Anolis sagrei: one gene and its partners. The protein of the gene in region 3 interacts with the protein of the main gene of each other region in a biochemical or structural test. Links are inferred from orthologs where the notes say so. Each region holds a gene or a part of one and is shown on either strand. Other genes may lie near its edges.

The links.
Region 1: the proteins of HDAC3 (region 3) and general transcription factor II-I form a complex in vitro, tested with the Homo sapiens proteins (2 studies listed by BioGRID). The link is inferred for Anolis sagrei from reciprocal best matches to the Homo sapiens genes HDAC3 and GTF2I.
Region 2: the proteins of HDAC3 (region 3) and NR2C1 form a complex in vitro, tested with the Homo sapiens proteins (4 studies listed by BioGRID). The link is inferred for Anolis sagrei from reciprocal best matches to the Homo sapiens genes HDAC3 and NR2C1.

The regions. Positions count from the first base shown.
Region 1 is NC_090031.1:29,915,659-29,919,411, forward strand, and holds the start of general transcription factor II-I, read left to right. Parts: upstream 1-1,329; 5' UTR 1,330-1,471; exon of another isoform or gene 1,472-1,541; intron 1,542-3,753. UniProt on the Homo sapiens protein: Interacts with the basal transcription machinery by coordinating the formation of a multiprotein complex at the C-FOS promoter, and linking specific signal responsive activator complexes.
Region 2 is NC_090025.1:155,091,644-155,095,396, forward strand, and holds the start of NR2C1 (nuclear receptor subfamily 2 group C member 1), read right to left. Parts: upstream 2,289-3,753; 5' UTR 1,967-2,288; intron 1-1,966. UniProt on the Homo sapiens protein: Orphan nuclear receptor. Binds the IR7 element in the promoter of its own gene in an autoregulatory negative feedback mechanism. Primarily repressor of a broad range of genes.
Region 3 is NC_090024.1:135,122,999-135,126,751, forward strand, and holds the start of HDAC3 (histone deacetylase 3), read left to right. Parts: upstream 1-1,488; 5' UTR 1,489-1,561; coding exon 1,562-1,616; intron 1,617-3,753. UniProt on the Homo sapiens protein: Histone deacetylase that catalyzes the deacetylation of lysine residues on the N-terminal part of the core histones (H2A, H2B, H3 and H4), and some other non-histone substrates.

The DNA of each region.
Region 1 (3,753 bases), on a different chromosome or scaffold from region 3:
AACTACTACTACTACTAATAATAATAATAATCATAATCATAATCATAATGATGATGATGTAATTCTATCTTCCTGCTTGGTAGGAATAATAATAATCTATATAAATAAAAATGTACTGTTAGTTTGTGGAATGAACATAACTCAAAAACCACTGGACAAATTGACACAAAATTTGGACACAATACACCAATCAGGCCAACAAGTGACCATCACTCATTAAAACACTGGAAAACACAGCAGAAGGGACTTTAAAAGCCAAAAAAACAAAAAAATGCATTACAACACATGCACAAAACCACACACACACATACATATGCAAATATATACACATACAAAGTGCATATACACAGACTTTTTTTCCCACAGTAATGTGTGGCAGGGGGTGGCTAGTAATATAGTAAAAATATAGTAAGATAGTAATTCTATCTTCCTGTCTGGCAGGAATAAATCATCATCATCACAAAGTATTCATTAAAATATTCACACAAATATAAAAAATTCACAAAAATATTCATTAAACTAATGAAATAATGTTCACAAAAATATAAAATATTCACAAAAATATTCACAAAAATATTCATTAAACTAATCAAATAATATGCACAAAATATAAAATATTCTCAAAAATATTCAGAAAAATATATAATATGTAATATTCTCAAAAATATAAAACATTCTCAAAAATATTCAGAAAAATATTCATTAAACTAATCAAATAATATTCATGAAAATTTAAACTATTTTATACACACACACACACATATATATATATATATTGATTTGGTTTTAGGGAAATGAGACAATGTTTCGTACCTTTACAAGTCACTAAATGGGAAAACAACCCTACAGAGCTGTAGTTTGGCAAAGGAAGCAAAAGCCCTTGCAAAACTGCACCTCCCAGGCTCCCTTAGCATTGGGCTGCGGCAGAGATGCCCTTTAGTTAGTTACAGAGCTGTATGGGATTCTGGGAGTTGTAGTCTTGGCCAGAGGAGGCCTTGCAAAACTACAATTCCAAGGATATTAGTATTAGTGTCAATGGCAGGTGAAGTTCTAATGGGAAGGTGGCTTTGCCGCCCTCTTGCGGCCAGGGGAATATTGCACTCTGCTTGAGATTGTGCGCTGCCATCGCGTGGACAGAGTGGGAAAGCGCACCTTCATATTCTCTCCCTATTCCCGCAGCGGAGATGCAGCGCCGCGGGGTTTCCTGGGAAGCGTAGTTCCGTTTGCCTTTCCCCAGACGCGAGTAGGCGGCAAAGGGACTACATCACCCAGAGAGAGTAGCGGCGCGGCTGTTGCGCACGCGCAGTGTGAGCCAAAGCGAGCGAGAGAGTGTGAGGGGGAAAACGCGCATGCGCAGTGCGAAAGCGAGCGAGCCCGAGCGAAGGGGGGAAAAGAAGGCTCTCCCACATCTCGGTCCGGGGTTCCGTTCGAGGCGGAAGAGGAAGCGGAAGAGGAAGGCCCGAGGCTGGAGGTGAGCGAGCAGGCCTCGGCGGAGGAGGAGGCCGGAGAAAGGGTTAGGCTTCGTTTCCCGAGAAAGAGAGGTAGGCCTCGCCCCCACACAAAGGCCTGGTAGGCCTTTCCCGTTTGGCACGGAGCGCGAAGGGAGGAGGATTGGGCCTCTCAGGCTTCCGTCGCCACTGGCTTGTTGTGAGTGTTCCAGCTTTCCAGAAGTATTCTCTCCTGACATTTCGCCTCCATCTCTGGCAGGCATCCTCAGAAATTGTGAGATCTGTTGGAAACTAGGAAAATTGGGTTTATATATCTGTGGAATAATGTCCAGGATGGGAGAAAGCACTCAGGTAGTTGCCAATGTTGCAATTAGCATTGAATGGCCTCGCAGTTTCAAAATCTGGCTTCTTACTGCGTGGGGGAATGTTGCAATGGGCCACCTTGATTAGCATTGAATGGCCTTGCACCATCAAAGCCTGGCTGATTGCTGCCTGGGGGAATCCTTGGTTGGGAGGTGTTAGCATTGAATGGCCTCGCAGTTTCAAAATCTGGCTTCTTACTGCGTGGGGGAATGTTGCAATGGGCCACCTTGATTAGCATTGAATGGCCTCGCAGCATCAAAGTCTGTCTGATTGCTGCCTGGGGGAATCCTTGGTTGGGAGGTGTTAGCATTGAATGGCCTCGCAGTTTCAAAATCTGGCTTCTTACTGCTTGGGGGAATCCTTTGTTGGGAGGTGATTGGCTGGCCCTGATTGAGAGACATGAAAGAAGCTTCCCACAAGGATGGTAAAACATCAAAACATCCAGGTGCCCCCTGGGCAACGTCCTTGCAGATGGCCAATTCTCTCACACCAGTAGCGACTTGCAGTTTCTCAAGTCACTCCTGACACGACAAAAAAAAGTGCTTCAATGGGAAATGGTGGCCTGCTTTTGGCTGATGAGATAGGATTGTTGTTGTTGTGTGCTTTCAAGTCATTTCAGACTTAGGTTGACCCTGAGCGAGGGCCGGGTAGAGGACCTTGGAGGGCCGTAGTTTGAGGACCCCTGATTTATGGCATATATATCCCGCTCTTCCACTACTATTATTGATGAGACGAAGAACAACCATGCTCGTGGCTATTATTACTGCGTCTCCCTGGAGTCTTTTCTCAGGCCCTCCTCTCTCTCACCATCCTATCTTTCTTTCCTTCCTCCATCCCTCCTTTCCTTACCTCTCTCTTTCTCCCTCCCTCTTTCCTCCCTCTCTCCTTCTTTCTTCTTCCTTCCCTTTTGTCTTTCCTTCTCTCTTTATTTATTTATGTACGACATTTATATGCCGCCCTTCTCACCCCGAAGGGTACTCAGAGCGGCTTACAAGTAAAAAGTAAATAAATATATTATTATCATAGCACAACATTAATATTATATATTACTATATTGTACTATAACATTATACTGTAATATTATTAGTAATGTTACATTTAATATAAAATATATAATTATAATATCATTTAATTATTAGTAGTAATATATTGTATTACATTATAATATTATCAATATTATATGTATATATTATATTACATTACATTAGATCATATTATAAGCACAGTGCAAGAGACAAGATTGGACTGCCTTCCTGGCCCCTCTCTCTCCTTCCTTCCTTCCTTCCTTCCTTCCTATAAATCCCAGCAACTACAACTCCCAAATGTATATAAATAAAAATGTAATGTTTGTTTGTAGGATTAACAGAACTCAAAAACCACTGGACGAATTGACACCAAATTGGGACACAAAGCACGTATCAGGCCAACAAGTGACCATCACACTGGAAAACACAGCAGAAGAGACTTTAAAAGCAAAAAAAAAAAAAGAAAATACATTGCAACGCATGCGCAAAACTACATATATACATGTATATACACAAATACACACACATATATACATGCAAAACACACAGAAAGGGGGCAGGAAGGAAGGAGAGAAAGAGGGAGAGAGAGAAGATAAGAAAGAAAGGTAGAGAAGGAAGGAAGGAGAGAAGGAATGAAAGAGAGAAAGAGGGAAAGAAGGAAAGAGACAAGGAAGGATGTCACCAAAGAGCAAAGGAAGTGAGAAAAGAAACAAGTAGAGAAGGAAGAAAGAAGAAGGGAAAGAGGAAGGGAAAGAAAAAGAGGGAAGGAAGGAAGGACGAAAGGGTGGAAGGGAAGGAGGGAGGGAAGGAGAAAGAGGGAGGTAAAGAAGGGAGGAAAGAGAGAGGGAAGGGAGGGAGGGAAGAAGAGAAGGATGGAAGGGAATGGAGGGAGGGAGGGAGAGAAGGGGCAGAGGAAA
Region 2 (3,753 bases), on a different chromosome or scaffold from region 3:
GTGCTTGGTCTCATGTTAGCCGCCCCGAGTCGCCTTTGGGGAGATGGTGGCGGGGTATAAATAAAGATTATTATTATTATTTTACTGACACAAAATCGCAGTATGTCACAGCAAATGAGATCTATATGTTGGATTTTGTATCACAAGTAGATACAAATACCTCACTACCTCTGAGGATGCTTGCCATAGATGCAGGTGAAATGTCAAGAGAAAATGCCTCTAGACCATGGCCATATAGCCCAAAAAAACCTACAACAACCCAGTGATTCCGGCCATGAAAGCCTTCGACAATACAAGTCGAACACTTCCCAAACGTCTAGGACTGTGTGATGTATTTTCGAATGATGTGTGCAGATCCAACTAAGGTGGCCTTTTGCAGTTGATAGATTGTGATTTTCTCAATATTTATTGTTTCCAAATGCTGGCTGAGATCTTTTGGCATGGCAGCCAGTGTGCCGATGACTACTGGGACCACCTGTGCTGGTTTATGCCAGAGCCTTTGCAGTTTGATTTTGTGGTCCTGATAATGGTTAAGTTTTCCTCAATTTGACTGTCACCCCGTATGACAACATCAATAATAATAAATAATAATAATAAACTTTATTTACCAATGGGGACTCGGGGTGGCTTACATGAGGCCAAGCCCAATCAACGAATTAAAACCAAAAACACATGCAACAAACAACATCATAATTACATAAAACATATGAATACATTAATGATATAAGATTACAATAAACACAGTCACAGTGACAATGGGTGGCTACATGTGCGAGAAAATGATTTAAAAACTGATTAAAAACACAGGTGAGATAAAAGGAGAAGCAGGTTATTTGCGGAGGGGAGCTTATTAAAAGGAGGATTGTGGAATTGAGCTTTCCCACGAAGGGGGGGGGGGGGTAATACAAACTTATTATTATTATTATTAGATGAGTCCACAGGAAAAATGATCACTCTGCTGGCTGTTGTATTGCATTACACATTGGGCAGTTCTCAAGTGTCTAGGACTGTGTGATGTATCAGTGAATAATGGGTGCAGATCCCAGTAAGGTTGCCTTTTGCAGCTGGCTGATGGTAATCTTGTCAGCGCCAACTGTGTTTTAAGTGCAGGCCAAGGTTTTTAAGCACTGCACCCAGTGTGCTGATCAGCACTGGGACCACCTTTACTGGTTTGTGCCAATCACCACAGGGACCACCTTTACTGGTTTGTGGCAGAGTGTTTGCAGTTTGATCTTTAAATCCTCATATCGTGTCAGCTTCATTATTATTATTATTATTATTACTATTATTATTATTACAATGCAACCTGAGCCCTGCCACATGCACAATGGAAGACCTTCTTATAGCATCACCAGAGGCACTCCATGTGGCCAGCTACTGAAAAAGGACATTTAATAAAATGCCAAGTTTGCAAACTTTGTTTTTAATACAACCGTTTGGTTTGCTCCTGACACGATAAATAAATTATCTAAGGGTTCACGGCGAAAACAGCGCAATGTATTCACGAGATTCTCTTTGTGTGCAGCTTGGAAGCAAAGAAGCAGAGACTGCCTTGCTTCCTCCCTCCCTCTCGCCTTTCGGCTGTCACCCAGGGGCCCCAACATGGCTGCTGTCGCCCCCTCCGGCGCCCCTTCCTCCCTCCCTCCGTCCCTCCCTCCCTGCCCAGGAAGCCCGGCTGGGCTGCGGAGAGAGAGGCGCGGGCCTCGGGGCGCGGCCTGGATCCGGGGAGGGGAGACGCAAGCCTTTCCTGTGGGTGAAAGGTCAGGGGGGCGGCGGCTGCTCGGCTGCCATTGCGAGGCTGAGCGGAGCACGGCGCCCAGGACGCCCTTCCTCCCGCCCTTCCTCCCCTCCTTCCATTTTCGGGAGGCTCCCTCAAGGAAGGCAAGAAGGGCCTGGGAAGGCCTCGCCCGTCCGCCCCAGCTCCTTCCTTCCTCCTCCTCCTCCCGTTCCCCCGCCCCCGACTGACCTGACAGGCGCGACGCATCCGCAGCCCCCTCAGGGCTTATTTGACGGCGGCGGGAGGTCAGAGGTCGTGACCCCGGCCCCGCCTCGCGCGGCCTACGCTCACGTTCTCCTCTCGGCGCCCCTCCCTCCTTCCGTCCCCTCAGCCGCCGCCACAACCGCCGCCGCTTCAAGGCCCGGTTGCGCTTGCGCAAAGCGAGCCCATGGCGGAGGCGGAGCGAGTGTCACCGTGCCGCACGCACGGCGGGGGAAGAAGGGAAGGGGAAGAGAAGGGAGAAGAGCCAGGCGCGTCGTCATGGCGACGGAGGGGGGAGTAGTAACGGGGGAAGGGAACAGCCTTTTGAATGGTCTACCTCAGGGTCAGGTTAAGCGTCTTCTGCGCATGCGCGACGGTGAGCCTCTCTTTTATCTTCTCTCTCTCCACAACCTCCTGCTATAACCTCCTGCTATTGGTGGGCCTTTTCAAGGACTGGGCCAAAAACCCCTATCAGCCAGTGATGCTTTTAGATGGGCTGTTTTCTCCAACATGTTTGTGTGTGTGATGGGATGTGTATGTTTGTGTGTATGTGTTGTATTTCAGTGTCAACACTGACACTGAAATTCAACACCGCCTAAGCTCTGCGAGTGCAGAGTGTTTGAGGGCCGGAACATCCATAGGAATGCCAAGGTGCTTGTTTATAAAGCTCATTAAACACCGAGAAAACCAAAGTGCTATTCCAGCAGTCACCAGCCAATCCCTCTCCAATGCCAGAAATACAACTTAATGGTGTAACATTAGAAAATGTTGACCATTTCCACTACATTGGCAGCCACCTTTCCACAAAAGTCAACATTGACACTGAAATTCAACACTGCCTGAGCTCTGTGAGTGCAGCATTTTTCCAAATGAAGCACAGAGTGTTTAAGGACCAGGACATCCATAGTGATACCAAGGTGCTTGTTTATAAAGCTATTGTCCTGCCAACCCTGCTATACGCCTGCAAAACATGGACTGTCTACAGACATCACATGCAACTCCTAGAACGATTCCATCAGCACTGCCTCTGAAAAATCCTACAAATCTCAGGTGAACAAATGTCAGCGTGCAGGAAGAAGCAAAGACCACCAGAATTGAAGTGATGGTGCTCCGCCATCAACTCCGCTGGACCAGCCATTTTTTCTGGACCACTGTCTCCCAAAGCAGTTGCTCTACTCCGACTCAAGAACAGAAAACGGAATGTTGGCGGGCAGGAAAAGAGATTTAAAGATGGGCTCAAAACCAACCGTAAAAACTCTGGCATAGACACTGAGAACTGGGAAGCTCTGGACCTTGAGCGCTCCAGCTGGAGGTCAGCTGTGACCAGCAGTGCTGTAGAATTTGAAGAGGCATGAATGGAGGGCGAAAGAGAAACGTGCCAAGAGGAAGGCGTGTAAAGCCAACCCCAATCAGGACCGGCTTCCACCTGCAAACCAATGCCCTCACTGTGGGAGAACATGCAGAACAAGAATAGGGCTCCACAATCACCTATGGACCCACCATCAGTACACCGATCTTGGAAGACAATCCTACTCGGACAACGAGGGATCGCCTAAGTGTGTGTGTATCTCCTTACTTAGAATTACAGATTTGAGAGAGACCCTGCAGGCCATCTGTAACATTAATATTAATAATAAAATAATAATAATACCATCTGCTGGAGGCAAATAGAGGGAGAAAACGTGGAGGCAATGACAGACTTTGTATTTCCAGGTGCAAAGATTACTGCAGGCGCAGACTCCAGCCAGGAAATCAGAAGACATTTAATTCTTGGG
Region 3 (3,753 bases):
GTGGATGCAAAGTAAGAATCTATGATATCTTTTTATGTAATATTTAGATAGTAGACTGTGACCCCTTAATAGAAATATACTATGAGATAAAGGAATATAGAACATTAATAGATGGCGAGTATTGCACTGTATGCAACAAACATTTGCAAATGTATGTTTTCTTAAATAAAATTAAATAAAAATGGAAAAAAAATCTAACAAAATTTAAAAGCAATTTAAAACAATTTAAAAACAGCAATATCAAACATTAAAAGCCTGTCGAAATAGGTATGTCTTACATGCCCTGCGGAAAGCTGGTAAGTCCCACAAGGCACGGACTTCAGGTGGCAGAGTATTCCAGAGTGATGGTGCCACTGCTGTGAAGTCTCTGCGTCTGGTTGCTGTTAGATGCAAGGTCTTGACACTGGGGACTTCCAATAGATCTTGGTCCTCAGAACGGAGGGATCTCTGGAGTTGGTAGGGGGTGAGGCGGTCCCTCAGGTACATCGGCCCCAGACCATGCAAGGCCTTAAAAATGAATACCATCACTTTGAAAGTGATCTGGTGCTCAATTGGTAACCAATGCAGCTGTAGTAAGATTGGTGTTATGTGGCATCTCATCGGAATTCCCGCAAGAAGCCGAGCAGCAGCATTTTGTACCAACTTGAGCTTCCGGATCACCGGCAGAGGAAGGCCAATGTAGAGGCCGTTACAGTAGTCCAGTCTTGAGATGACCGTGGCCTGGATCACCGTAGCTAGGTCGTCCCTGGACAGGTAGGGGGCCAGCCGTCTAGCCTGCCGCAGATGAAAAAATGCAGTTCTGCTAACAGCAGAGACCTGGGCCCCCATCGTCAGCAGAGGTTCCAAAAGGACTCCCAGACTCTTTACCAATGATGATGGGCCAGTTATCAATCATTCTGGTTGCCAGAATCTTGGTTTTTTTTTAATGTTTAGCTGCAACCCAGTTTTTGCACTTCCTTCTTTCACCTTGATTACAAGGCTCCTCAGCTCTTCGCTTTCGACCATCAAAGTGGTATCATCTGCATATCTAAGGTTGTTTATGTTTCTACCAGCAATTTTTACCCCAGCCTTACATTCATCAAGCCCTGCACATCACATGATGTGTTCTGAATACAAGTTTAATAGGTTGGGTGAGATTAATTGTATTAGATAGATTTAATATTTTAATCTTTTTTCATTCTTTTGCATTTTATCAATTGTAGTTGTAATTGATCCATTTTGTAATGAATATTTTGTAAATAAAAGCACTCCTGGTTTCCATTTCCCTATGCAGAGACTTGGGGAAGGTTTATTTAAACAAGGAGCCCCAACAATCAATGTCAACACTTCAGAAGCCCAAAGAAGGGATCCTGACGTAAAACGAAAAGAGACGAATGCTGACATTTGCCTGGGCCGCTGGTCAAATATCGCGAGAGTTTGCTGAGACTCGAGTAAGCACCCGCCCCCAAAAGGCGGGCGAGAGAGCGCACTCTCCTCTGTCACTGCCTGCGTAATGACGTAGGACGCTGTGGGCGGGGCTACGCGGCCCGTGGGGCGTCCGTTACTCGGGCGGGCGGGCGGCATGGCGAAGACGGTGGCCTACTTCTACGACCCTGATGTAGGCAACTTCCACTACGGTGCGTGCGCGCGCGCGGAGGCAGAGTGACGTTGGGCCTTTGAGGAGCGGGGGGGCTCCTGGCCGGAAAAGGCCCCCCGTGGCTTCTTAGGAAGAGAAACCATTCTTCCAGGAGGAGGGGCGGGGGGCTTCAAGAGGCTTCAAGAGGGAAACTTGTGGAAAGATATTTTCCTTACCGAGGTTTACTGTGTGCCCTCCCCACTCCCTGGATGCTGCACTTGGGTACCAAGGCCCTGAGGCGGAAGGCCTTGCCCTGGGAATGCTGCTGAATGTACTGAATGCACTTTGAGACCACTTTTAGGGTCTTTTTACAAGGTCTTGGGCCTTCTCTGCCCAAACTATGACTCCCAGGATGCCATATAATAATATAATGTAGTATAATATATTGTATATACATATAATATTTATAACTAGCTGTCCCCTGCCACGCGTTGCTGTGGCCCACATGGGAGTTCTGTGTGGGAAGTTCAACCCAATTCTATCGTTGGTGGGTTTCAGAATGCTCCGTGATTGAAGGTGAACTGTAAATCCCAGCAACTACAACTCCCAAATTTCAAGATTCTATTTTCCCCAAACTCCACCAGTGTTCACATTTGAGCATATTGAGTGTTCGTGTAGAGCAGTGGTTCTTAACCTTCCTAATGCCGTGACCCCTTAATACAGTCCCTCATGTTGTGGTGACCCCCAACCACAATATTGTTTTTGTTGCTCCTTCATAACAGTCATTTTCCTACTGTTATAAATCATAATGTAAATATCAGATATGCAAGATGTATTTTCATTCACTGGACCAAACTGGGCACCCACATGTAAATGCTAGTGGGGTTGGGGGAGGATTGATTTTGTAATTTGGGAGTTGTAGTTGCTGGGATTTATAGTTCACCTATAACCAAAGAGCATTCTGAACTCCACAAATGATGGATTTGAACCTAATTTGCCACACAGAACTCCCATGACCAACAGAAAACACTGGAAGGGTTTGGTGGGTATTGACCTTGAGTTTGGGAGTTGTAGTTCACCTATATCCAGAGAGCACTGTGGACTCACGCAATGGTGGATCTGGACCAAACTTGGCACAAATACTCAATATGCACAAATGTGAACACTGGTGGAGCCTGGGGAAAATAGACCTTGACTTTTGGGAGTTGTAGTTGCTGGGATTTATAGTTCATTACAAACAAAGAATATTCTGAACTCCACCAACGATAAAATTGGCTCAAACTTCCTATATGGAATCCCCATGACCATCAGAAAATACTGTGTTTTCTGATGGTCTTTGGTGACCCCTCTGACACCCCTTCGCGACCCCCTCAGGGGTTCCGACCCCCAGGTTGAGAAACACTGGTGTAGAGTTTGGTCCTGATCCATCATTGTTTGAGTCCACAGTGATCTCTGGATGTAGGTGAACTACAACTACAACTCCAAAACCAAAGGACACTGCCCACCAAACGCTTCCAGTATCTTCTGTTGGTTATGGAACTGTGTGCCAAGTTTGGTTCAATTCCATCGTTGGTGGTGTTCAGAATGCTCTTTGATTGTAGGTAAACTATACATCCCAGCAACTTATATTGCAATATAATGGTATAGTGCAATATAGTAATATATGCTGATATTGTACTATGCTAATAATATAATGTATGAAAATATATATTGTAAGCCGCTCTGAGTCCCCTTCGGGTGACATATAAATGCCATAAATAAATAAATAAACTACAACTCCCAAATGACAACATCAATTTTTTGAGTGAAGGACATAAATTGGGTTGTTAGGTCTATCATGTCCAAATTTGGTGTCAATTTCCCCAGTGGTTTATGAGTTCTGTGAATACCACAAACGAACATTACATTTTTATTTATATAGATATTTCTAGCCGTCCCCTGCCACGCGTTGCTGTGGTCCAGTCTGGTGATCTGGAAAATAAAGTCATGAGAAAGTGTTGGTTTCTAATATATGTAATTTCTTTATGCTTGTGGGTAAACAGTATTTCGTGATGTTTCTTTGTCAGTGTTGATGTGGAGAGTGTCTGGTTTGCCTACTCTGAAATATGCAGCATATCATAGTCCATCTTTAGGGGTCCCTTTCAAATCTATGAAGCTATATCTCTCTCTGTGTGTGAATAATATCTATCTATATCTAT